4 linked regions of the Drosophila melanogaster genome follow. The protein of the gene in region 3 binds, or shares a complex with, the protein of the main gene of each other region. Each region holds a gene or a part of one and is shown on either strand. Other genes may lie near its edges. The genes, in order: msl-1, msl-2, mle and msl-3.

What was found.
Region 1: mle (region 3) and msl-1 share a complex: the UniProt entries of both Drosophila melanogaster proteins name them as parts of the male-specific lethal (MSL) histone acetyltransferase complex.
Region 2: mle (region 3) and msl-2 share a complex: the UniProt entries of both Drosophila melanogaster proteins name them as parts of the male-specific lethal (MSL) histone acetyltransferase complex.
Region 4: mle (region 3) and msl-3 share a complex: the UniProt entries of both Drosophila melanogaster proteins name them as parts of the male-specific lethal (MSL) histone acetyltransferase complex.

Annotation. Positions count from the first base shown.
Region 1 is NT_033779.5:18,683,196-18,690,808, forward strand, and holds msl-1 (male-specific lethal 1), read right to left. Parts: upstream 5,606-7,613; 5' UTR 5,231-5,605; coding exon 3,992-5,230; intron 3,932-3,991; coding exon 2,051-3,931; 3' UTR 525-2,050; downstream 1-524. Other genes in the region: CG31751 (uncharacterized protein), read left to right, coding at 1-70; CG10336 (uncharacterized protein), read left to right, coding at 6,599-7,522. UniProt on the Drosophila melanogaster protein: Component of the male-specific lethal (MSL) histone acetyltransferase complex, a multiprotein complex essential for elevating transcription of the single X chromosome in the male (X chromosome dosage compensation).
Region 2 is NT_033779.5:3,461,707-3,467,866, forward strand, and holds msl-2 (male-specific lethal 2), read right to left. Parts: upstream 4,407-6,160; 5' UTR 4,346-4,406; exon of another isoform or gene 4,213-4,345; 5' UTR 3,934-4,212; coding exon 2,001-3,933; intron 1,949-2,000; coding exon 1,560-1,948; 3' UTR 512-1,559; downstream 1-511. Other genes in the region: CG3246 (uncharacterized protein), read right to left, coding at 64-145; ND-PDSW (NADH dehydrogenase (ubiquinone) PDSW subunit), read left to right, coding at 4,629-4,710, 5,081-5,356, 5,427-5,548; Pif1 DNA helicase, read right to left, coding at 6,145-6,160. UniProt on the Drosophila melanogaster protein: Limiting component of the male-specific lethal (MSL) histone acetyltransferase complex, a multiprotein complex essential for elevating transcription of the single X chromosome in the male (X chromosome dosage compensation).
Region 3 is NT_033778.4:5,974,757-5,982,331, forward strand, and holds mle (maleless), read right to left. Parts: upstream 6,023-7,575; 5' UTR 5,939-6,022; coding exon 5,863-5,938; intron 5,804-5,862; coding exon 5,287-5,803; exon of another isoform or gene 4,945-5,286; intron 4,882-4,944; coding exon 4,563-4,881; intron 3,922-4,562; coding exon 3,231-3,921; intron 2,713-3,230; coding exon 434-2,712; 3' UTR 338-433; downstream 1-337. UniProt on the Drosophila melanogaster protein: RNA helicase component of the male-specific lethal (MSL) histone acetyltransferase complex, a multiprotein complex essential for elevating transcription of the single X chromosome in the male (X chromosome dosage compensation).
Region 4 is NT_037436.4:7,122,680-7,127,448, forward strand, and holds msl-3 (male-specific lethal 3), read right to left. Parts: upstream 2,855-4,769; 5' UTR 2,744-2,854; coding exon 2,642-2,743; intron 2,525-2,641; coding exon 2,346-2,524; intron 2,280-2,345; coding exon 1,722-2,279; intron 1,664-1,721; coding exon 1,167-1,663; intron 1,112-1,166; coding exon 1,027-1,111; intron 972-1,026; coding exon 854-971; 3' UTR 534-853; downstream 1-533. Other genes in the region: form3 (formin 3), read left to right, coding at 1-278; BBS1 (Bardet-Biedl syndrome 1), read left to right, coding at 3,247-3,526, 3,590-4,657, 4,740-4,769. UniProt on the Drosophila melanogaster protein: Component of the male-specific lethal (MSL) histone acetyltransferase complex, a multiprotein complex essential for elevating transcription of the single X chromosome in the male (X chromosome dosage compensation).

The sequences.
Region 1 (7,613 bases), on a different chromosome or scaffold from region 3:
GAGCTTTGACGATATTGATGAGCTGTGGGCAAGCACTGGACACCAGTACTTGACGCAGAGCAATAAATAATATAAAATTCCGTTAGGCTTTTCCGTTTTTTAAAGGTATTTTAACTGATTTTCAATCCAGCTATTCTGGTTGTTGAAGATTTTGTATGTTATGTTTTCCATTAGGTAACGAGGGTCAGATAAAATTGTCACAGCCAATATATAGAGTATAATGAAGCATTTTCTAAGATATTAAATACATTTGCAATTAGCCCCTAAACAAGTTTATATCGAGATGATCGCAAACAAAAAGACATCTAAGGAAACCAGAAGCAAGCGATGCCAGGTCATTGGAAAATCAATTGAGGCCTGTTAAATAAACCCATTGTCAATTATTAGAATTTCATTTACATATCACCTGTGCAAAATAAGTTGCAAGTCCAAGTATTGATTGCATTTCGTTGCTTTACAATTTACTTTATCCTGTATATTATTATCGTTATCTTTACAATAAAACTTGTTAAACAAATACAAATACATTGTATGTAGTACATTTATTCTTACAGTAGGTGAGTTTGTTTAGGGCTCTACAATGGTGGCAATTAATTTCGAATTGATTTTTAGTTGAAGCTTCAGTAAATTGAACTATTTAACGCTAATTACATTGAATGGTGTAAAATGGTGTTGAACGAAGTTCATCCACCCTCCGCTCCTCCTTTTCCTGGACAATGTACATCGTATCGTATTTACTTTGTTACATTATAATTATCTCTATGCGTTTGGGTACAGTGCCTACTTAACGCTATATTACAAGTAACCGACTTTACACCTATCGAAATGTACAAAAATAAGACGCCACTCGAAAGCGAGCTGGTGATTTGATTTCTCCGGACGTTGGCAGGCTCCATATCATTGCGACAGAAAGTCAAACAGAAGAAGTGTTAAACGAAACAATATTTAGCCAAAAATACATGGTGCCCATAAGGCCAAACGGGTGTGCAGTTCGGGAATCAGTTTTATATTTATTCTTCAAATCTAGTTTTCATCTTAACGGCCTTTCTTGTTCGATACAACATAAAACAAGTTTAATGAAGTTAATAAAATAAAACAATAGATCCAATGTATAATTTGATTACTCGAAGCAGACAACCACTCGCACTCAATTTTTACACAATCAAATCCTAAAAAAAAAGACAAATTATCAGAGATATACCTGAGTAACTCTTTGCAACACACACGTTGTCTGCATTCGAGAATCGACAGATATAACAGTATAAACAAAGACAAAAAAAATGGTTATAAGGGCTAAAGAAAAAAAATATTTAAAAATATAAGTCTACGAATTTCATTGTTTTTCTCCAAAAAAATGCCCAATATAACTTATGTGAATATCTTTCGTGTTCTTATCACTTTAGTGCGGGCGATTTTAAAGGTGATAAAGCTGAGATGAGTTAACCAATCTAACTAAGCGACTGGTTTGAATTACATGCTGTGTGGGACTAAGTAATTTACGTACATTGGAAACAAGCAAGGGTGAAACTCTTTTCAATTGCAAGACGTTAACTAAAAACTAATCATTTCCAGACCAGGCGACGAACATTTGGATTCATTTACATCTAATATAAGATCGAATTATTTATATTTCAAGGAAATAAATATGATAACAATTTAATAGAAAAATGTTTGAATAGGACAGCTCAATTTACTTGCCTTTTAAGATCTCTCATCGCATAAGAAACGACAAAACTTTGACATAAATTTATAGATTCTATAACAAAGAATTTCTAATGTTCCAGAATTCAGCGTTCCGTTCATTTTATTACACAAATAAAAACGGACAGTTGAGGAACCATATATACAATAAACATCGTCTGCTCTGGATTATTTGACTTCTAGACGATCTGTGGTAATCGTTACTGTTAACTCTGGTGCTTTCACGTTAAGCTTAAGAAATAATTCATGATTTAAAACTGAAAATCATTAGTATGTCAAACGCAACGACTTCCCCCAACCGACAGTCTTCTGCTTAGCTCCAGTATCAGATCCCCCAGGCGTTTCCTGGCTAACGATTCTTCTGGCGCTTGCGTCGCTTGGGAAACACGTAGGAGGAGTGATTTTCTTGATGCCTCGCCTCGGCAGCAGTGGTGGGTATTTTTTTGCTAGCCAACGTTGCCACCGGCTCAGCCAGTGCCTTGGACCTGGCTATGGAGGTTGGCGCTTCGATTGCATCCACCCAAGGCACACCGAAATCATCCCGCGCCTCCATGTTGACCACGTTTTCGCCGAATGCCTGAACTGTCACCTCGTTGACGAATTGGATGGCCTCTATGTCCTCGGGCAGCGGGTAGAAAGTGGAGGCGCGCAGAGGATCCAGCGCAACCAACACCTCGTCTTGGTTCCGTCGCATCCGAAGCTGTTCAAGCCGTATCTGCTCCTTCATATAACGTGCATCCCTACACTTTCGATCGACCTCATCCTTCACATATTTCTGGTGCCGGCGCTCGAAGGTCGCATCGCTCAGTAATTCTGTGTCAATTTTATCCGAACTGGGTGGCACTGGGACATCCCGCCACTTGGGTATCTCCAGACTAGGGTTATCCGCCAGCAGCTCGTCGGCCTCCTCCAGGAAGAACTCGTTGTCACAGTGGAACTCCTGATCCTCCCACGTTCTCGTGCTGTACGGAAACGTGGCAGTGCGGAATCTGGACTGCAGTTTTCCCGATCTCGCCGTTGCCTTGCTGTACGTGTGGGGTGAACAGTTGTTTAGCGTTTTTCGGATAGTCGAAGTGGTGCTGCTAACACTGCTATTAGATTGAGGTGTCAGAGGAGTTGCTATTTGTTCAGCTGCCTTGGATTTCGATTTTGCTGCAGATATTTCCTGGTCCATTGAGGATGTAACCGCATGCTGTGGCGTTGAGCCAGGCGTTGGTGTCGTTGACGGCGTAGGCGCTGGGGTTATTGTTGTTGAGGATACTGGTGCACTGGGTGGTGGATATATTAGATTTGTGGCGACTCTCTCTCTTATTTTCTTGAGCGTAACCTGTGACGAATGACTCTGGCTTAGGAGCTCCTTTTTTAAATGTTCCGCCAGTTTTCTTCTAACTGTTTCCACATCTATTTCTTGATCTGGGCTCTGAGACGTTTCCGACGTGGTCTTTTTATCATTGACCAACATACTTTTACTTTTAATGGTTTTCGTCTCGGGCGTCGAAACTGGATCAACGTTCTTTTGTTTCCGAATATCAGACGGGGCGGAGGAGCCGGTTCTCATGTCAGGATGCATTTCATACTGCCTGATCTTAACCTGCAAACGCTGCGTTTTTACAGGATCCGTTTGCGTCTTGGTGGACTGATGGTTGGCTATTACTTTTTGAGCGGGAGCGTCTTTTATGTCAGCGGTGTTTGCCTTGGGCAACGTGCTTTCTCGAGAGGATGTTTTCGTAACCTTTGGGGCTACCGCTTTCGGAAGGTGCTTAGGTGCATCCTCTGGTTGCCTTTTCAGAGTTTCCTTCTGTACCTTACGAACATCCTCTTGTGGTTCCACGCGAACATCCAGCTGCCCATCCTGCCTCTGTTCGTCTTTGGGCTGGTCCTTCGGTTTTAAGTCCGGCTTGGGAACTTCCAACTGATTCTTTATTGCATTATGATCAACGATGGCATCTTCCTGATGCGGCTGCTGCTTGGGTACTTCTGGGGACTCGGGGACTGATTCATGTTCCTTATCCTTTTTCTTAAAAGCCACCCACTTCGGGAGAATCGGCGCTTCTAATGCATCTACCATTGGCTCAGGCTTTAGTTGCAACAACTTTTCAGTTATCCGATTCTGATTTCCTTCTTTCCTTATCTCTGCCTGTGTCGAAGACTTCTGCTGGTGATTGGGAGTTGAATGGGCCGAAGGCGCACAGGTCTTCTCCTCCGTCGGGTCCAATTCCAAAAGGTAATTCTGAAAGAGTAAAGGATTGCTCGATATATTCTTTTAATTAAATAATAACATTAAACATACCTGATTCTGCCAGAGCTCTTCCTCAGTTCTGGCGTTTACATCCGCATCGCTATGCATCCACGGATAATCATCCTCTTCACTGTCATCGTCTTTATCACTATTCTCGTCATCTTCGTCGTCCTCGTCATCATCCTCCTCGATATGGCCGTTGGCATCCACGGACTGTCCATGCTCCTCCATATCAACCAGCTCTTCGGTGACCACTTCCATTTCAATTGATTCCAAAGCATCATGAAAGATATCGCCTCCAACGACTTCCTCGGTGTGCACTTCTTGCATATGCAGATGATCTTCCTCAGCGACCAGTTGGTCCTCTTCCTGAGATATTTGCTCCTTATGTGCCTCCATCTCGTGCTCCTCTGCTACTTCCGTTTGCTCGTGGATGTGGTGCTCGAAGTCCTGATTCATGCGCTGGAGAATAAACGTGCTCACCTTTTTACCGTTGAATTCACCGCGGCCTTTGCTCTCCGAGCGTTTGCTGGCTGGCTGATTCGTTACCGCTCCAGCGTGATGGTCCAGAGCGGGAGACTCCTTCATGTTGATACCCCTGGGAAGTGCATTCGCGAATTGAGGCTGCGCATCTATCGTTTGTGTGCCCTGTTCCCGCTCCCGAAACACAGTTTGCGTCTCAGCATGACAACGTATCAACTTCTGCTGCGGGGCAGCAGGTGGCAGTGGGGGATCATCGTCGTCGTCGTCATTGTCGTTCCTTCGCTGGTTCTTTCGCCGCAGCTGTTTGCATAGTTCCTGGTTGGCGGCCTCCAACTGAGCAACGGCCTGCTTTAATTCCTCATTCTGCGCCTTCACCACGCTCATCTTAGCGCTTTGGTCGTCCAGCTCCTTGTCCTTGGCCGCTATGCTGTCCGTCTGCTCCTGCATCAGGTTTAAGTTCAACATAACCATGCGCCTCAGGTTGTTGTTCTCCGAGATGAGCTTGACCATATCGGCGCCGGCACACACGGTTCCGCCGGAGGAAGGAGGAGCCATGGCTCCGCCACCATGCTCAGCTGGCAGCGAATGCAAAAGCTTTCGGTAGTTGTTATTACCCCCGCCATGTCCTCCACGACCATTGCCATATTGCTGGCGCTCATAGATCTTCCCGGGATGCTGATGAAGATGCTGCGTCTGATTGGGATGGCCGTGCAGATTCCTTTGGCGGCCACGCGACGGTATGTGGGGATAGGGCGATTCCAAGTAGTTGGCCCGCTTTTTGGGCGGCCACTTGAATCGCTTGTCCATGGCAGTCGAATTGAATCCCGTGCCGTCGGTCCTACGATCTCATAATTCTCCAAATGTTTTTGTTTTGTTTTGGTTTTGTTTGCGTCGCTTGGGGTGCACACAATCTCTTCAGCTGATACGCCGTACAATGCGTAGAATCCCGATTACAATTTCGCACCACACTAAATTTTCCTTGCTCGCCCTCGCAAAAGAACCGCTCTTTTCTTGGCCAGAATCTAATGGATTTATCGTTTTAAACGTGGCGTTCTTATCGCACGTGGTGACCGCATTTAGGCAGCAGTTTTTCGGTTCGTTTTTGAACGTTCTTTCACCGCTTTTTCCACAATTGTCCTCACAATGTAAAGTCGCCCCGAAAATGCTCTTAAAAGTATGGCGTTTTGCTGGCGTTGCCACTTTTCGCCAAAGCGCAGAGTTGATTGGGGGCATAGAGATGGCAATTTGCTGCGATGCACGAGCTGAGCACGACAGTCACGAAGTGAAAATATTTTCACGAAACTGTACTTTGTTGCACATAATAGCTAATAGCTAAGTTAACACGAGCCGACGAACTAGTACAGTTGGCTTAGTGTATGAAACATAATATCAAAGTGCTGAGACAGCATTGGGCCGGAGTCTTTGTTAGCTTTAAGAATCATTTTAAGTTTCAGCTTAAATTTGCAGTTACCAGAATAAAGAGCGGCAGCTCGTCAACTCCGACTAAATGTCGTTAAACACATTTTTATTTCTTACTCTGCCAGACCACAAGGATAGCAGTTAAAAGAGGACAGTTTCTCTCAACGTAAATAATAATCTTCCGTTGCTCCCCGGATAATTATTTTCAATTTTTATGTGGTATGAGTAATTGGAATGAGAAAATAGATGAAAAAGAAACTAGCTAGCTAATAATGTATTGATTTTATTTTATTTTTTTTGGTAATTTTATTACATTACCAACTCCTTTTAAATATTTCACTAAATTTAAATAACTACAATCTTTGGATGAATTATCCTTCCTTGTATAATGGTATAAATATAATAGAATAACAAAAACTCGTGACGCCAATGTGTCGCTTAGTGATAAAAAAAACGTGTCACGCTGCCATCTCTTATGTCTGCTGCCACCAATGCAAAAGCCGGGTTGGCTGTACAAATTACCTTTAGTGCCACCCACTAATGAAAATATGTCTAAGCAAATCAAAATAGCCTTTGGGAAAGACCAAATAGTTATGTAATCGGAAAATTAAAAGAACAAAGAGCTGTTCAGTTGGCAGCCCCCTGTGACTTATGCAAGCGTCGCCTGTGAATGGTAGATAGAGAAGAAGAACAAAAATTGGCGCCAAAATTTTGTTAGATTGTTTATTTGGTATTTAAGTTTCGGCCACTAGTTCTATGGCATCCCTGTTCGGAGATGATGGTGTGGATGACCTATTCAATGACAACATTCCGACTGACCCGGATCAGCTGCCCAGCGATGGCGAAGGCGAAAAGCTGTTTGCGGACGACGAGGACAACGGCGTAGAACCTGGTAGCCAGGATGCCCAGATAGTGGAGCCTAAGAAGCGAGCTGTGAGAAATCCCCGACCGCGACTCACTGTGGAAACACTTCGAGGTCCTCGTGGCATCCAGACCATCGAAGATTATTTTAAGGACATCAAATTCAAGGGCAAGGGTTACGAGAAAACCGATCTCGACGAGGTGCTTCGCCGCCTGCAGCACTGGGGCCATCGTATGTATCCCACCTACACCTTTGACGATGTGCTTAACAATATCGAACGGCTGGGCAAGAAGAAACCCCTCCAAGTGCACATGGCGCGATATCGACTCGGTCAGCTGGAGCAGATGCGCGCCCACGAAGCGGAGGCCCTGGAGGAGGCGCAGGATGAGCAACAGGAAGGTGCCGGCGATGAACCCTTTGATGAGTTCGACGCCCTGCTAGGTGAACAGATTGCCATGTCCAGGCTGGCGCCTCCCAGCCCGCAGCAGTGGAAAATGTCTACTGCTTCCAGTAACAGCACGCTGGCTACTCCGTCATTCTCCCGCGGCAATGCTGTAATGTCCACGCCGTACTCCGGTGTAAATGCGACCTTCGACAGAAGTGGAGCTTCTGTGGCTCCGGCCTTCGATCGGAATGGAGCTCCGTTGGCATCGATGGACATCAGCGACTATGGTCAGCCGCTGCCTCCCTCACAGCCTCCCACGCCGGCGGCTAAGAAATTATCCAACGAACAGATGGCCAGGATTGCGGAAAACCGCAGGCTGGCGCAGGAGCGACTTAAGGCCAAGCAGCAGCAGGAGAGCGGAAGTAAAAGTTAGTGTATATTTATGATATAAAAACGCATATTTTTATAATTTTCAAAGGATAATTTATAAAAATAAATGAATAAGCTACGTTGAAAGTTAATGC
Region 2 (6,160 bases), on a different chromosome or scaffold from region 3:
CTGCTCAAAGGTCATTAATGAGTGGCTTAGTTCCGGTAGAGCTCAGACTGGAATTCGTCTTACCATCGCCAGGCTCCTGGGAGTGAACAATGTGGCAGCCACTTGCCATCAGGCCCACGAGCACGACCACTATCAACGGCTTCATCTTTCGGGGATTAGCTGGAGCTTCTGCTTATCAGTTGGAAAATGGAAGAAAACGCGCCAGCCTCCGTTCTCTACTCGGAACAAACACGCACTGTCGACTGGCGCGTTAATCAAAAGATAATGATGAGCCGCAGGCGGCGATCCGCTTATCTAAGGGCGACTCTGCTCGCGGAGCTGCTGATTAAACTCGGAATTGAGATTGAGTGACTTAAGTGAGCGGAAGCGGCCAGCACATTGTAGGCACTCATGGAACTCACTCCACTCCCAGGAACGATGTTCTAGAAATCATGAACTAGCAGCTTGCATGAGGCAAAGAGTGTTACGGTTCGAAAACGGTTTTGAAACCCAAAGAAAATCGCGCATTTTTCTGTAGTAGCAATGCTCATTTTTATTTGAATATTTTAATAGTTATATGTTCGCATATATAATATGGGTATATATGGCTTACTTGAATTGTTGTTCTTAATCCTAGGTTCACGTGCTCAAAAAAATTCATGCTCAAAAAAAGTCTTAGCCTATTCAAAAAAATGTCTTAGCCTATTAAAAAAAAAGGTTTTTTTTAGCTCACAGCATCCACATTTTGGGCAAAGCAATCTATAATTCGCTGTTCGTTGAACGAAAATAATCTTTAGTTTTGACTAATGCTTTACTCTTAAATAGATTATCTTTGCTGCAGCTGCAGAATTGCTTTAAATAGTTATGTATACGACTTTTGGCTTAATACGTATTAAAAAAAAATTGAGTTTTGGAAACGTTTGCTGGATGATTACAAAAATCAGATTGTAGAATGCTCCTAAAAGATATTTGGGAGTTGATTTGAGTGGAAGTTGTTTGAGTGGGGGAATATATAGCATAACGAAACCACAAGTTAAAAACAAGAGAGAATGCTAAAGTCGAATTTCCCGACTATCAGATACCCGTTACTCAGCTAGTGGAAATACGAACGCGAAATTTCATCATTTTTCTGGGATATCCAAGAGATATTGGGAAATAAAATGAGAAAAAATTTAAAATTGTGGGCGTGGAAGTTTTGGGCGGTAAGTGGGCGTGGCAACATGGGTAAACAACCAAGCGCTGCATCTATGTCTCTAGAATTTATATGCTTAATCTCAACCTTCTAGCTTTTATAGTTCCTGAGATCGAGACATTCATACGGACAGGGCCAGATCGACTCGACTATTGATCCTGATCAAGAATATATATACTTTACATGGTCGGAAACACATCTAGTATACCCTTTTACTCTACGAATAACGGGTATGATAAGAGGATCAAAGACGATACCACGTTATGGATGCAATTCAGTGCTGAATTCGACCATCCATAACGTACATAAAAATTATCTATTAAAGGATTGATACCTGGACATCACTGAGCACATAAAAAAACAAACATATAGGGATGAGTCGTCTTGCTTACAAGTCATCCGAGCCCGACATGATCTCCTCGAACAGTGAATGGGCATTGTCAGTGGCCGATGATCTGTCGCCAGCGGCAGAATTGCTCCTGGATCCGCCACTGACAAGCTCATCCACCGTGTCGAGGGCCGAGAAGTTGGCCCTTCCTCGGCGTGTTCGACTGGTCCTGAATTTCTTGGCCGGTGGCTCGATGACTTCCCTGTCAGGAGCAGGAGGCGGTGGTGGCGAAAGTGATGGAGCTGGTGGATTCGGCGGGTCAATTGTTGGCATTATATAAGCATACTGGGGAAGGGAACCGAAGCCATCGGTGTGCTGCAGCTGGACACGAATAGTGAAGCCAACGGTGACCGGATCAAGGGGCTTGCTGCCCTGGAAGATATTGAAGCCTGCAATTGGAACAGGGTTAGATAGGTCTAACACAGCGATGAGGTAACTTACCCTGGTACTCGCCTTTCTCATTCTGAACAAGCACCAAAGGATGCTGGGATTGCTGCAAATTATTTAGCGGCACTAGGCTTATGGGGGCAGAAGAGTCTGGCGGCGCCATACTGTTCTCCTCCTGCCTAGGCTCAGCTACCACCGGCTCCTCCGACTGAGTCATCGGCTCTGGAACGTCCTTCGGCATTTCGAAATCCTCCAAATCATCGTCCTCATCACTTTCAACGTAGTCCTCCTTGTGCGGATTCTTGCAGCACACGCAATGACACCCGGCACAGCTGTTGTAACTCTTGTAGCAAGGACATCGGGAATTCCGGCAGGTGGTGAGGGTATTGCTCGAGCCGGAGATACCGCAGCGGCACTTCGGCTTCGGAGGCTTCACCTTTTCCTCCTTGTCCTTGCCCCGAATCCTGCGAAGAGCGCCCTTTCCAGATTGCACTTTAGTCTTGACCTCAGACGGTACAGGCTCAATTTTGGCAGCTTGTGACGCTTTGAGAGTACGGGTTCTCTTTCGCTTAAGTGTTGGCTCGTCACTGTCCTCCTTCTGCAGCTCAGCACTGATTGCGTGCAGGTCCTTCTCCTTCTCCTTCGCCTCTTCAGCCGCTGCCTTTGCGTCCTCAAAATCTTTCTGCAACGACTCCGCATCCTGCAATTCTGTTTGCACATGACCCAATTGTGTTTTTGTGGCAACATGCTCCTCCACTGCTTCCTCCATTTCGGTTTGTGTAGGTGACTGTGAAGTGTGCACATCCAAGTGTTGATCCTCCTCCATGTGCTCAGCTACAACCTCTGACGGGATTGAGGTCCCTTCGGCCTCTTCAACGGTCTCTTCAACCAGAGCCTCATCAGATTCCTCAACTTGCAGATTAGCCAATTGATCAGAGATTTCGTTGGGTTCCTCAGCGGAGGTAAGCACTTCTAGCTGCGTGGATGTTTCAACGGTCTCTTCAACGGTGGTGGAGAGCACAGTCAACTGTGTGGACGTCTCGACGGTCTCCTCAACGGCAGCCAGCACAGCCAACTGAGTGGAGTCCGCCATTTGCACCACCTGGCCGATTTGCAGTTCCTGTGGATCGAACTTCGTGGTCGCAGAAGTGGGCATCACGTAGGAGACAGCAAAGTTGTTGCCGCTATTTGTGTATTTGGACACCGAAACCGTGCCAGACAGGTCTACCTGATCCGTCCACGCTTGGTCCATGAAGCCCGACTCCGAGCTCTCGGTGGCAATGACTATTTGCCCGGCGTGAGAGAGCATGCCCATGCGAGATCCTGTGGGCAGCAGGGGAAGCGGCGAGAAGTGACCCTGCTCCGCTGTGGCCGCCGCCTCCGCCTCAATGTCGCTGATGTTGAGGTGGTGATCATAGGGCAGTTCCGGAGTCGTGACCGCCGACGTAGGCGGCGTCTCTGCGGGCAGCGATGTGGGCATGTCCTTGAGGAACGGCAAATCCGGCTGGGGCAGAAAGATGTCAAAAGTGTCGGAGATGTTTGAGCCCTCGCGAATGAACTCCTGTGTGGTTTTGGGAGGCAGCTTGATGCGAGGCACCAGCTCCCTGGCCACCTGGGGCCGCATCCCGGCCAGCTCACCAAATAATGCCGAGTGGAGCAGGTGGACGCACAGCGTCTTGTAGCACAGTAGCTGGGCGGCCATCATACGGTTCTCCTCGTAGGTCTTGAAGTCGGAGCAACCCTCGCACTGGGTGCAGCTGGGAAACAGATGCTTCTTACCGCGCAGACACAGCCGGCACACGTTGTGCTGGCACCGCTTGCCCTTGGGCGAGTAGGGATCCACCAGCAGCTGGCAGCAGACCACGCAAGACAGCAGCTGCCGTAGCTCGCCGAGCCCGGAGTTCAGCTCCTCCACCCGCCGTTTGGAAAGATTCGAAGCGGAGCGCATCGCGATGCGTGTCACCTTCAAGTATGCCGTCTGGGCCATGATGGCTATATTTTTATGCCCGGGACTGTACGCACGCCGCTGTTTGTTTACGTTTTTCAGCCCAAAAGTGAGACTCCGCTGGCCAAGTAAGTGCCTTGTCGGTCCGACCCACGCCACCTGCTCCGCTACCTGGTGCCTCCTGGGCTAGTTACCTGCAATTCCTCGCCCGTAGGAGCTCAGTTACACATGCTTAGACCGCGTTAATCCTCGATTTCATTATCTAATGGTAACTTTACTGGAACGCTTTTTGTTGGTTTCACTTTTGTGGCTTCGTTATCACTATGTTTCACGTGCAAAAAAAAAAAAAAAATTGGTTTACGTTTGAGAGGTCTCAAGTCATTGTTAATGGTTATGCTGCACACTGTGCAACAGCGTTGAAAACAATAAATTAGCAACTAAAAAAAAAAATTACCCAAGCAATATTTTGCTGAGCGAAGCCAGTGTGACCGCAGTGTGCCAGTGCGAACATGCTAGCTGCAGTGCGGCATAGGTGTGACCACTACCTCGAACAGCTGATTTCAGTGCTCTGAGGAATTTTCGCAGTTACGAACTGCGGTCCTACAACAAATTTTAACACTTAGTTTTTCAAGTAAATATGGTTTTTTAAGTATTTTCCGTCAAAGGAAAGCGGAAAACCTTGGAAATTATTTACTAACAGCTCTTCCGCTTACGCCAGGTGGTAGGAGAGCCAGAAAATGCCGGAACCGCGCAGTCCGATGGCCAGTTTTGCCGAGTCGGTGCTGAATGTCATCGATGGACCCATAACTTGGTTCCGTGGTATGTAGTCCACAGGGATTCCCAATGGCCATGGTCATGGGAGTCTCCAGATGCTGCAAGTTTGCGTTTCCTTTGGCCAACGATCGGAAAAACCGGACAAATTCCAGACAATTACATAATGACATAACCTCAACTCGCAGTCCATTTGTTTTTGTTTACACTGTATTGCTGAAATGCTAAAATGTTTATAATCAACCGTTTTAAGTAATTTCTAGCTAGCGCAAACTAAATCTCTTAGAATACTAGTCGGCAGCCCTTAAATGCCGTCCGTTACTATATAGTTCATCTAGTCAAAGCGGGATCATGTTTTTCAACAGAAATGCATTACAGCTAGTATATTTTATTAATGCGCCTTGTGTTAATCCCACAGAGAGCATTGTGGAGCCGAACCAGCAGAAGCAGAATTGGTACCACCAGCGCTTCCGCCGCGTTCCGACGATCGACCAGTGCTACACGGACGATGCCGTCTGCCGTTTCGAGGCCGATCAGCAGTTCCGCCGGGATCGCATGGTCGACAACGAGATTGTCAACATTCTGCGCCAGCGCTTCGAGGACTGCACCCTCTACGAGGCACCCGATCACATGGTCAAGTGCAGGCCGCTGATGGATCAGTACGAGAAGGCCACCGAGAACTGGTTCATCAAGTGTGAGTGGAATCCCTTACCCATCTTCTTTAAAGTTGTATGTGATATATAACGAGATATAACCCATTATAGATGGCGACTTGGGAGGCTACGCCAATGCCAAGACCGCGTACATGAAGCAGAAGCATCGTCTGATCTGGGAGCGTCGTCATGGACCAGTGGGCAGTGGCATGAAGGAGGAGGCCGCCCATTAAACTCCGCTTTTATGATGATGTTTTCTAGTTTCATTATCCGTTAAAACAAAATATACACGCCGTAAAACGATATTCCCAAGGATTGAGCTTTCTTTCAATTGTTTCAGTGTAAATTATAAGGTAAGAGCTACTAGGAATTATTTATTACTACAGCAGTTTCAATTCATTTGTCTATTAGTTGCATTTATTCTTAGTCATGTTTTTCTTAAAATAAATATTAATATTGGCGTTTGATATAGAATTTTGGCTATAGACTAGCTTAAAACTAATAGTTCTCAAGATTAAGAGCCTTGGTTAAGTTGTTCCAGTGAGTAAAATAAAGTTTTTGCCTGCGTACTGCAATAAGTTTACAGAATATAGTGATAAATCATAAAACTCACACTGTAATTCTTCAGACTTTTTCGAAAATTTAGACAATTTCAAAAAGAGTTCCATAATTTCTCATTTTTTAAAAAAAGGAATGCACAGTCCATAAATCATTTGCTTTTCTTAAAAAAAGAAAAAATTACACTTTTAGAAATAGATACCAATAGATAGGCAATAGTGAAATTTGTTCAAGCTTTCTAGAATTACGCTATCTTAGATTACTTTCGAGCTCAGCTAATCGAGACC
Region 3 (7,575 bases):
TTTTATTGTATATATTGTTGTCATGACATATGTTTTAAAAAGGTCTAATTGCGAAATCAGTAATCGTCTAAAATGCTAGCAGAGATAAAAAATAATGATTACACAGGTTCACCAAAAGCCTTTATAGAATGAATGTTTTTGATCTCATTTTGTGACAATAAACGATTTCCACGCCTTCACAAACGAAATTCCAGCAATATATGTATGTATGCAACAGGTTAGGGAATGTCAGCGGAACTATCATATTTGGTTACTATTTACATACGTTAACTCGTGAATCTATTCGGATCGCACATGCGTATTTAATGCCAAAAAACCAAAAGATTCAATGCGTCTTATTTGTATAATCCCTTCAGCATATCGAAATGCGAATAGTAATGTTTATTATTCTTTTTGTTTTTGAAAAAACCAATACATTTTTTTTATGTATCCGTTAAAAGTTACCCCAGCGGCCGCCTTGGTCGCCATTTCTAAAGCCGCCGCCTGATCCTCTATTGCTTTCAAATGAGTCTCCAAATCCACCTCTCTTGTTCCCATATCCTCCGCCATTGTTTCCATATCCTCCACCATTATTTCTATAACCTCCGCCATTATTTCCATATCCACCATTATTTCCATAACCTCCTGCATTATTTCCATATCCTCCTCCAATATTTCCATATCCTCCTCCATTATTTCCATATCCTCCTCCATTATTTCCATATCCTCCTCCAAAAGTTCTGCCGTTTCCACGGCGACCAAAGCTGCTGTTAGTAAAGCGTCCTGTCTCAAAGCGACCTCGTTTGGGCGGTCCTCCGCCGTCACTGAACTGACGTGATTGGTGCGGCAGAATTCCTGATTCACGCTGCAGTCCGAAGTCTCCGGCGCTCTTAACGCAAAGGTCTTTGACCACTTTGACCAGCTGTGCATAGGGCTCCTCAAGGCGAAGTATGTCGGAAGGGTTGTCGCACGCCACCGTGATAAGATCCTCCAGGGCCGGCTTAAGGGCACCAATCTTGGCCGCAAGTTCCGGCTCTATGTCGAAGTTAAGCCAGTTGTCAACGCGCACTATATTGTTGGCGGCCAAGTCAATCTTGCGCGATCCAAACAATATCACCTGCAAGGGCGAGACCATAGATAGTTGCTTGCAGGAAACAGCTCGCGTGCGAATCTTCTCGCCGAAAACGAAGAACGGATACGGAAATGTGACGGCCAAGTTGCTGCAATTCACCGAGGTTTTGTGCAGTAACGCTGCTTTAGACTCTGTAGTCAGCACTTTGCGCTTCTCCTTGTGCACGCAAATGTTGGGGTAGAGACCCAAGCACAGCAGCGCCAGGGACACATCCAGCACGGGGTCATCCCCATCAATCCTTTCGTCTACCTCGTGCGATATCATACACTCTTCTGGGAATCCTGCCTGCTGAAGGAGATCCAGTAACTGCTGCTTGGCATCCCAGATAACGTTCATAGTACTCATTTGCAGTCCTTTCCAGTCACAGAACCGAGCTTCCATATGCTCACCGCGTTGTTTCTCGCGCCGCCACATTTGTGAAGCTACAATCATTGCCACGTGGTCGGAACATTTGGTACCACTCAACGCTTTCTGATGATTTGCCAGGCGACGTTGACCTATATCAAGACTAAACACCTCTGAGAAGGTGCTAGAGTACGAAGCCATAATGGCCATTAGATCGGCGCAGCCAAATACTGCGCCGAGGACCATCATCTTTCCAAGTCTTGGTTCAATTGGGAGGCGTGCCAGCAGGCGCCCCAATGGAGTAAGTTCATCGTTAGCGTCAAGGCAGCGCATCTCGCGAAGCAACACCTCAGCTTCGATTACTGCGTCTACCGGAGGTGGCTCCAATGCCTTTGACAAAAAGTGGTGAATGGAGCCCAGTCTGAGTAATTTAATGGTCAACGCCATCTCGTGCAACGGTGTGCGGAACATCTCCGGCGTAAGATTGTCCTCTAGCGCTTGGAAGCGGGCACGCGAACAGAGTGTGAAGCAGAAGCCTGGTCGGACACGTCCAGCTCGGCCCTTGCGCTGCTCCAAATTGGTTTTGCTTGCCCAAACGGTGGCGTAGCTGGTTAGGTTGTTATGTGAAGTAAAGAGCTTCATGCGCGCCTTACATATATCAATTACGAAAACAATGTCGTCAATAGTTATAGAAGTCTCTGCAATGTTGGTAGAAAGTATAATCTTGGTTACGCCTTCTGGAACAGGCTCGAAAACCTTGCGTTGCTCGTCTCGTGGAATCTGCGAGTGGCACGGCAAAATTTGGTATTGGGATGTATCACCAAAAATGTTTGTATTTTGCAGAAACTTCATAAGCGCAAAGATCAGGTTCCAACCGGGCAGGAATACTAAGATAGCACCGGGAATATTTTTTGACTTAATATGCATCAATAATGCCTCCAGCAGCTCAAAGCTAACGTCCGATTCGGATAGCATGGCCATAGCATTTCGAGTCTTTTGTGAATACTTGTCCTCGCACACCTTGTTATAGTTGATTTCCGCCTCGTCCTTGTCCTCGGAAAGCAATTGCTCCTCGTCCTCCACTTCCTTGCGCTTTCGGCGCGACTCCGCCGAAGGCACAAAGTCTGTCATCTGAATAATGTCCTCCAAGAAAAATTGCTGCACGGGAAATGCTCTTCCGGGTACTTCCAATACGGGACAGATGCCAAAATATTTGGAAAATTTCGTTGTATCAATAGTGGCCGACATAAGAATAACTGCAATAGAAGAGTTTCTATTAATTATAGTGTTTTCTAAAAGTCATATCATATTAAATTAGGACTAGAAATGTATGACCCGTAATGCATATAAGTTTTAAGTTCTGAATAGTAATTTTGTTGGGCATAAGTAATTTTGGCAAGTCAACTCTACATTAAATATGAAACACAAACAATTGGCAATGCAAATTTTCAATGGAACAAACTGACAAATCGACTATTAAGAACATAACATATACACTCTGGGCGGATCCGGTACAAACAATATAATCATAATCTTCATTAATTAAGCCAGTGAATTAGTGCAAAATAAGTTATTTTCGCGGCTCAAAATCTGCTCAACATTGCTTTTTATACATGTAAATGTATGTATATATACAATACATATATACAAATGTATGTATATATAAATATATAAGTATAATCAACAATTGTCGAAGAGTTTCACCCCAAGAAATTTGAATGCAGGTTATACATACGGATTTATGTTAGAAATATTGCACCTTATTCGAGCTTACCATGCAGGTCCGGATATGTGTCGACCATGTCGCGAAGGATGACCAGCAAAAAGTCGCTGTTCACGTCTCTCTCGTGGATTTCGTCCACAATAATATGCGACACTCCTCGTAAGCCAGCCTCCAGCTTGCGCAGCAACACACCCACGGTGCAAAAGAGGATTGCGCCGTAGGGTCGTGGAAACACAGACTCAAATCGCACCGAGTAGCCTACAGTGTCGCCCAATTGCTCGCACCGCTCGCGAGCTACGCGCTCGGCCACAGAAATGGCTGAAATGCGACGAGGCTGGGTCACATAAATATTAGCGTACCCGCCCTGGCCGGAGCAGATGTAGTCATCAAGAATGTATTGGGCAATCTGGGTAGTCTTTCCGCACCCTGTGTTTCCACGAATGATTACCACTGGATTGTCATTAATTGCGGTTAAAATTTCCGACCGCATCGCTGCAATGGGCAGCTTTTCGCGGAACTCGAGGAATTGTCGGTACTCGTTGTCGTTTTGGCGGCGATCACGCAGCGAGCGTTCGTAGTCCATCGAAAGGTCATCAATAGAGGTGGTTGCCAGTTCGCCTTCGTCGATGTTGCAGGCATGCCACGTATTCCAGTTTGCCTGAGGAGGAGCCCACGGAATCACGGAGCTTTCCTGACGTTTTTCGCCATCCTGTTGCGAGGAATCTATACGGCTTAAGTTCACCTAGGAGAAAATATTTTACATCGTACACTACATTTTTTGTTCGCAAAAAAAAGGTGGTTTGGGTAGGGCAGCGTATTCCTATGCTCATATAGTAAGGGTATGAATGTAAGAGATAACAGAAATAATCTTGTTCAAGATCACTAGCCAAGTCTATCACAACAAAAGCTTGAAAGTTAAGATTAAAGACGCAGATTTTAGTTATGCTAACGTAGCGTAAAACCTTCTTTGAAATATCTTTTGAACACAGAATTGGATTAGGTCGATTATGGTGTCTGTCGACGCGTATTGAGAGCTATATATAGAAAAAATACAAATGTTACAGCCAAGTATGCAGTACAAATTAATCGAGTTAAAGTATTTGCATTGTTGTTTCGGCATATCAAATATTTTTGAGGGACTGAACGATGTGGGAGTTACTAGCGTATTCCTAAGTATATGACTTACGTAAATCAATATAATAATATATACTTTATAAAGTACTGTTGGATGTCATCAAGAATATTGAAACCGGTATACAACATTTAGCTAATAGTCTTTGTCTGATAAAATCTCTAAACTGTTTTTTAATACTCTGAGATAAGAAATTTAATTCAAATTGCTGATACATTTTTATTTTAGTTTTCTAGTTTCGTATTACTTACAATGAGAGGAATCGGAGGACCGTCCAGTTCGATTTTGATATTGCGCGGGTTTACGACAGGAAGGTCCAAACCCTTAATCACCTCATCAATTTTGTTTATCAGATTTGGCGAAAGCTTCACCGGATATGGCTTCAGCTGCTCATCCTTTTTTTTCTTCAGAGTTCCACTAAAGGGCTCTATCACATTTAAATGGAAAAGTTGGCGCACCAGGGACAGGGCGCATGACTTGCTGGCAGACTTCTTGTTTGAACCCGACTCACGGGCCGTCACCGTGCGATTGAGCGCCGGCACATAAATGGACAATTCGGCCAAAAAGCTCCTACATTAAAAGAACTTTTTGAAAAAATCTGGACTGGTAATGTAGATCAAATCCGGAACTTACCCTCGGGCTATCGTGGGAGTCTACGGACTGCTGAAGGAGCCAGCCGACAGAACGGCGTGGTACTAATGTGTTAGACGCAGCTGGAAAGTCAGCGCTTGAATTATTGTCAGCTAAGCCGCGTTGCATGGGCGTCCGTTTTGCTTACAGACCCCACGCAAGGAAGCTGGACGTGGTTCTTGTAGTTCGGAGTATCGTACCACATCGTTCTGCCGGCGCTGCTCTGCACAAATCAAATTGGTCACAGCCCGACATGATTATGGGCTGCATTTCAGATTTGGCCGTAGGCCATATTCGGTCAAATCCGAAATGCAGGCCGAAGAAAGTTGAAAAGGAAGCACATACCTAGCGTGTTCCGGGCCCACTGGTGTATATTTGTAATCGTCGCGAATGTTGTTCGTCTGCTTGTAAATGTTCAGTCGCTCTTTGGCATTCTCTATGGTCCAGTTACCGTGGATGGCAGCGTTGACATCGAAAGCCTCCGCTTCGTTCATGTCCCTCTGCTCCTGGATGCGATCAATTACTGAGTAGCGGTTACCGCCGTCACCGCCATCGTGGTTTAGAGGGCGATAGGCCTCACCCAGATCCTGTGGACCCGACTGACCATCAAACACTCGCTTCTGCTGTCCACTGCCCCCTGCCATGCCCGCACCCTCCAGACCAGTCCTAGGTCCGCCCCCCGAAGCACCAGCATCCGCTGGAACATCATTGGTGTTCAGTTTGCCCACGCGCACTAGGTAGTTGACAAAATCACGGCACGCATTTTTCTCGGCATCCTTTTTGTTAGTGGAATTACCCACACCAATATAGGTATTTGGCTCTACACGAACCTCGCAAAGGAACCGCTGGCGATTTTTGGGACCTATAAATTAAACTGCTACTTGGGAAACACGCCTGGGGGAGTGCAACATAACCACTTACCCGTTTGGCGAATATCAAACTTTGGTTCTATTTGCGACTTAGCACAAAATTGGTACAAAAAAGATTTTATATCCATTCTTAGATTTTCAATAAACTTTCTATCAACTACGGAGCTCAAATTAAATTTATTTCTTTTGTGATGTCTATTCTGATATCGATTAATTTTTTTGTTGCTTTACAAAACACTAACGCGTCTTGAATCGCCTATCAAAATAGGAACGGATAAAATAGAACAGTGTGTGTAGATATAAAAACATTTAATGTAATTTAATCTAAAATAAAAGAAACCTATAGAGAGACTTAGACATATTTGTATATATTGCACTATAAATAAACAGACAAATTTCTTATATATATACTTTTATTTATTTATTTAAATATAACGTAGAGTATAAAATTTTAAGGTAACTGAAACCTAGATGCATTAGCAGCTAGCACCTTCCATTTTATATTTTTTAAATTAGGTTGGAGCTTTTTAAAAAGTTTCTAATTGTGTTGATGTCAACTGTTCTATGTGGCGAAAGGGAAGAACAGTATGCTAGGATGGGATTAACGTCTAACTGGTTGCAAAGAGCGCATATAAATACATATACATATATATGGGGGACCTGTTCTTGTAATGGTCATTTGTAAGGTTGATGTGATCAAGCCTGAGACTGTTAATAAGAAATATCGTTTTCCTGTTGTGTGATGTGGTGTTGTTGAAAGGAGTTTGATGTGGTATGTTGAAGGATGAGCTTGTATCAGGGAGTTATGTTGTAATGCAGTTCTGTTTGTTTTGAATTGACGTATATGCCTATGTGCCGAGAAGTCTTTTATGTATAAGTAATAAATGAAATATTGCAAAACAAAAGAAACGGAATTCCAATTCAAATTGGTAGACGAATTTTGAGCCGTTTTTTGCGTAAGATGTGTAGGACAGAATATTATCGAATAATTGATATCATATGACTATGTTATGCCCTTCAATCCGTCAAGAAAGATTCCTCATATCATAGCAGGTCTTAGAATCCTTAAATAATTTACGCTAATTTACGATGAAAAAAATAATAATCAGCATAAATAATCATATATTAAATAGTCATTTCTGGCACCAAGAAGACCACTAAACTTGACCAGCGACACGACCATTGATTTCTGTTCAAATAAAAATATCCAAGCTGTTGAAATAAATTAGTATTTTAAAGATGATGACTGAAATTCAGTATTATAGTATATTTGCCCCAGTCTTTTGGTATTTCTCGAGTCCGCGTACTGGTCACACAGCTTTTTGCAACGCGATGGGAAAAAGAGGACGATATTTGAGTTAAAATGTGAATACGGATGCCAGCCCAACTAAATAATAGTGCAATCGCGAGTCACCCATTTAATCGCCTAGTTTGAATTCTTTTTTGCGGCCCCAACGCCGGTACACAGCTGGATTTTTGTTGGTTGCCAGCAGTCCAGCATCACGCACACCCACACGAGCAAATGTAGATAAAAGTGAGAAAACACTCACGCACGCACACACACAGGCACACGTTTGGTCGTGGGCAAGCATTTAATTTCGTTAGTGCCCAGTAAAACAGAGTTGAGCGAAAAGGCGATAGCAACTTGCACAAATTGTAAGCAGTGCAGAGAGTCAGTGAAGAGGGGATCGAGTGAGAGCGGCGTTTAGTGCCAACACCCAAGCGCTGATCTCGCAGCTACAAACAATAAACAAACAGTGAAAGT
Region 4 (4,769 bases), on a different chromosome or scaffold from region 3:
TGATCTTGGTGCGCAGCAAGATGTCCAACACGGCTCCGAAATCGAGTATCCATGGTAGCACCAGTTTTAAGGAAAACCAGTCCCAGTCCCAACCCCAGTCACAGTCCCGAATGAGCGCCGCTCGCAGCGTGGTGCTGGTGAAAAATGCCCTGAACCAGCAGCAGCAGGCCAGGATGAGTGCGAACCCCAGTCCGCAGCAGAGGAGCACTAGCAGCAGTCGATCCGTGAGCAGCTTCATGCGACCCACGGCCAGCAGTGCCACCAAGCGACAGAAGTGAGGGCCGGCAGTCCAGTCCAGTTCAGTCATCGTCCAAGTTAACGTCCCAAGTTTACACATGTTACAAACGCGAATGCATCCAACTCCAAGCCGTCCAAGCGACAATTTCGAATTTCTAAGCAGGATCTGAAACACAAATCAGCACACACATAGTTGTTACAGTTGCAATATTTTGAGAAATTATACAAATCTTAAGAATTCCCTGCACATTCCAACTCAAGGTCCGCAAATCCTTAATACAAAAGACAACAACTTTCCAACTCTTAAATATATTTGAGCACAAAAAACAAGGCATGACAAAAATACTAGCATGTACTACTCAACTAAAACTTAGGTTAAGCAAAAAAAAAAAAAAAAACAAAAAAAAATGTTAAAATCGTATTTTCAATATTTAACATATATAGTTATAGGCATTATTCGATTATACGATCACATTAGGAAACTTTTTTATAGAAGTGCGTTGTTTACAAAGTGTGTAGTTGAAGAAACCAAAACGACAATTACAAATCTTTAAATAAAAGAGCATAAGCTTTAATCGTAATAATAAATAAACTAGATAACTACGATCAACTAAAGCTAAGCAGCAATCCCATCCAGGGAGTCCAACAGCTCCCGCTGCAGATCTTCCTGGGGCAGGGCAGTGGAGTTAACAAAGTTTTCCCTGTCGAACCACTCCCTGTGGTTCTCCAAGTAGCTGAAAAACCAACAGATTAGCTTCGTGATGGACTAGGGAGGGGTCTTAGACTTACTTGATGAAGGCGTCGAGGTGGGGAAGTAGATCTTCTAGCTTCTTGTTGCTGATCGGCGATGCGTTTAAGAACATGGGCATTTTAACTGCAAGTACCATGAATTAATGTGTGTTATAGAATGCAAGAAAGATTGTACATACTCATTAGCCTAACCAGGTGGGGAGCGCCAAAGACCATGGACTTTTCTGGCGGCGATTCCGCTGACAAAAGCCGCCACTTGAATGTTTCGTTCAGAAATCCACGCATCTCCACGGGCAGTTTGTAGGCAGCCGTATATGGGGAAGTCCTCTCATAGGCCTGCGCAGTGTTTTTCCCGCTGGCGGTAACAATGTAGAGCAGGCATTTTTGCAACTGCTTCTCGTACTCCGGACCGCCGATATTAATAACTCCGATCTGTCCATTGGTGTCGCCCGACCCTTCTACCACTGGCGTGCCGTCCAGACCGATCAGTTCCGTGTCACCGCTGGGATTGATATACTCGTACGACTTGTTCAATATTAGGCTGCAGTTGCGCATGTTGTCGTCTGTGAGGTAGTTGTGGACATACTCCTTCTCCTCCGTATACAGCAAGTGGTCATCCACGTGGAACTCAAAGTAGATACGCAATCCGTCTACCACCTCCTTCAGCATGCAGACACTGTTAATAAGTAAGAGTATAAGTGGGTTGTTAAGTCTGATATTGAGTGGTAACCAACGTGGACATAACGCGATCGTATTCCCGCTCCATTCTGGCATTGCGACTCTGCGTGTTCCTGGCCCTCGAGCTGTCCTGTTTAATGCTAATGGCTAGCTCCACGGCCTGCTGCTTGACGAAGTTTTCCATGATGGTCACGATGGGCACGCGGGCGGGCAGTGCGTGCTGTTTGCCTAGTACCTTGATCATATTCCGATCGTACTCTATAAGCTCTCGCAATCGCTCGCTGACTCGCATCATAATGCGATCCTCCTGTGGCACATGGTTATAGACCGATACATCATTTATGGCATTGTTATAAAAGGTCTCTGTTTGTCTGCCCCGGTTTCCCTTTAATCGGCCATCTCCGGACGGGGGTTTTTCCTTTCGCTTGCCACCGCTGTTGTCCCGCGTCCGGTTGCCCGCTGCTCGTGGAGTGGGCGCCATTTCGTGCTCCGCCTCAAGATGTCCCGTGTCCATTGGAACCACTATTGGCTCCTCAACGTGGGCCGCTTTTCCGCCGCGTTTCTTCTTGGCCGATGGCTTATCGGGTGTGCCCTTGTAGGAGTAGTCACCACGACTGTGCGAAAAAGAAGGGGGAACTCGTTAGAGAGGTATTCCACGCATGTCTAGGGGGTTATCTTACATTTGCAGCTTGGCAGCTTCGGCCAGCTCCCTTTGCAACTGGCGATTCTCCTCGGTGTCTTTCAATAGAACGGTGGCGCGCACACAGCGATCGTAGGATGGACGCCAGCCCTGGAAGTGAATCTTGTACTCGTAGAACCTCAGGCCATGCTCGTTCCGGCGCTCAAAGACGTTTAGCACCTGCGGCATGTACGGAAAATTGCGGGAAACGGAAAATCATTTGTGAAAACTTCGCCTACGACGTTTGCTTGACATTTCAATGCGCGCGCGTGTGTGTGTGTGTGCATGTGTATTTACCTTGCTGGTGTAAAGAACACGGGCCTTCGATTTATCCGGCTCGTAGCAAAGGACTATCTCGCCCTTGTGAAAGAGCGGTGTCTCGTCCCTTAGCTCCGTCATTACTTGCAGTTAAATAGGGCCGTAGTCAGTCACTTATGTATACAAAATGTTAAATATTGAATTCAACTGCTGGCGTCGCTGAGATGATATTTATAACGAATGTTTTTTGCGATAAGCAATTGACGTGGGTATCGAATATTCCCTCGCACTTATCGATAACACATACTGTCGATGCTTGCACGTCTTTAGCAGGCCGGCCTTAAGTGTGACCAGACAAAATGCATTTTTGGCGGCCAATTTAAATAAAATTTTCTATCATCAGTAATTTGATCACAGTTTTACCTTTTGCCAAATGATTTTTTAGTTATACGTAGCTTTACCCTGTTAGCATTTAAGAATAATGCTGACGATCATTTTGTGTTTTTAAGAAAAAACCCAAATAAGTAACAAAAAATGTGCTGTCATCCCGGTTGCTAAGGACAAGAAAAACCAAAACAAAAGCATGTCCTGAATCACCTGTTCGTTTTCACACTGTGCTGCAAATTTTTCACCAAGATCCTGCCATGGCCGGTGCTCCCAACTGGCTTCACGTGGACACGGCGGAGGAGGCTCCTCCACCGCATCTCACCACCCTCACCAGTTGCATGGCCCTGAGCGACGTGCAGTGCGACGGATATGTCCGGCTGCTGGCGGCGGACATTTCACTGGACAATGCCGCCGAGGAGCCCACTGCCACGCTGAAGGTTTTCCGTGGTCTTAAACTCAAGCACGAGCAGCCACTGCCGGGGATTCCAGCGGCCATTGAAAGTCTCTACATCGACGAAACGGAGCCCAAGACGCCGGGTAGAAATAACGTTGCATTTTAATATTTTTAAATTAGATTCCATAATGAATACAATTTTCCAGTAATTGCCGTGGCCATCGCTGAGTCAGTGCTCTTCTATCGTCACCTAAAGCCATACTTCAAGTACACGATTCCCGCACAGGACTCCGAGGATCTGGAGCTGGAGGTATGGCGAAAACTGCCGGTTGTGAAGCCAAGTGCCCATCCCGCCCTGCTTGACTCCCTAAAAACCATAGACCACTCCAAGCTGTCGCGGAAATCGCAGCGACTTCTGCAAATGGGCGAGCAGGAGCGGGAGCACTTCATTGCCACGCACAAGGACTCCCCAGTGGGTCGGGTTGGCAACATTGTGGCCATGTGCTGCATAAAGCGCATCTCCAGCGATGCCAATCCCCCGTCCCACTTGGTCCTGGCCACCGATACCGGGCACATCATGATCCTGGAGCCGCAGGGCTTCAATTTGGTTTACCAGGGCAAGGCCTGCGATGATGAGACGGCCGTGCCGAGCCTGATCTCCGTGCAGGGAACCTTTGAGACGGATTTCTGCATCGTGGTGGCCACGCGAAATGGCGGTGTCTACCTCCTGCGGAAAAGCCAATCGGAGGGACAGGAGATCTTCAAGCTCGGCATCCCCCTAACCGGCCTCCTACTGCTGCCCATCGATCAGACGATAATCGCCTCCACCATGGACAATCGCTATCTGTGCTACTCAAAGCGGGGCAAGCTGTTATACCAGGTGCCCATGTCCGATCTACCCGTTTGCCTCCTACCGCTGCCCTTGACCCATCTGGGACTCACCCTGGTGGCCATTGCCCTTAGAGGAGGAGTGGTCAAGTTTTATTTGCAGCGCTACCTCGTCGACGAGTTTGTTCTCGAGGAGACGGTGGATGCCATGCTGTACGGACGAATGGGCATGGAGGATCACGTCCTCACGCTCGTTACTCAATCTGGTGGTATCGTGGTTAAGATCCTGAGACGTGTGTCCCGCTTTGAGCCCAAGGCCGGTGATTTGGCGAACAAGCGAGCATTGGGCGATAACAAATCCATCGTGGATGCCTCGATTTTGGATAAGCCCAAGAAGAGCTCCATCTTTGTGGAGCAGGCGGCAAGGGAGAAGCAGCAGGCCAAATGTAAGTAACCCTCTTATTTTCATAACACAATTTTATATAGTTATTGTTCTAATCAAGATTATTCTTTCATTTCCTATTCCAGCAACCTACGGAAGTTTCCAAGTGGAGCTGT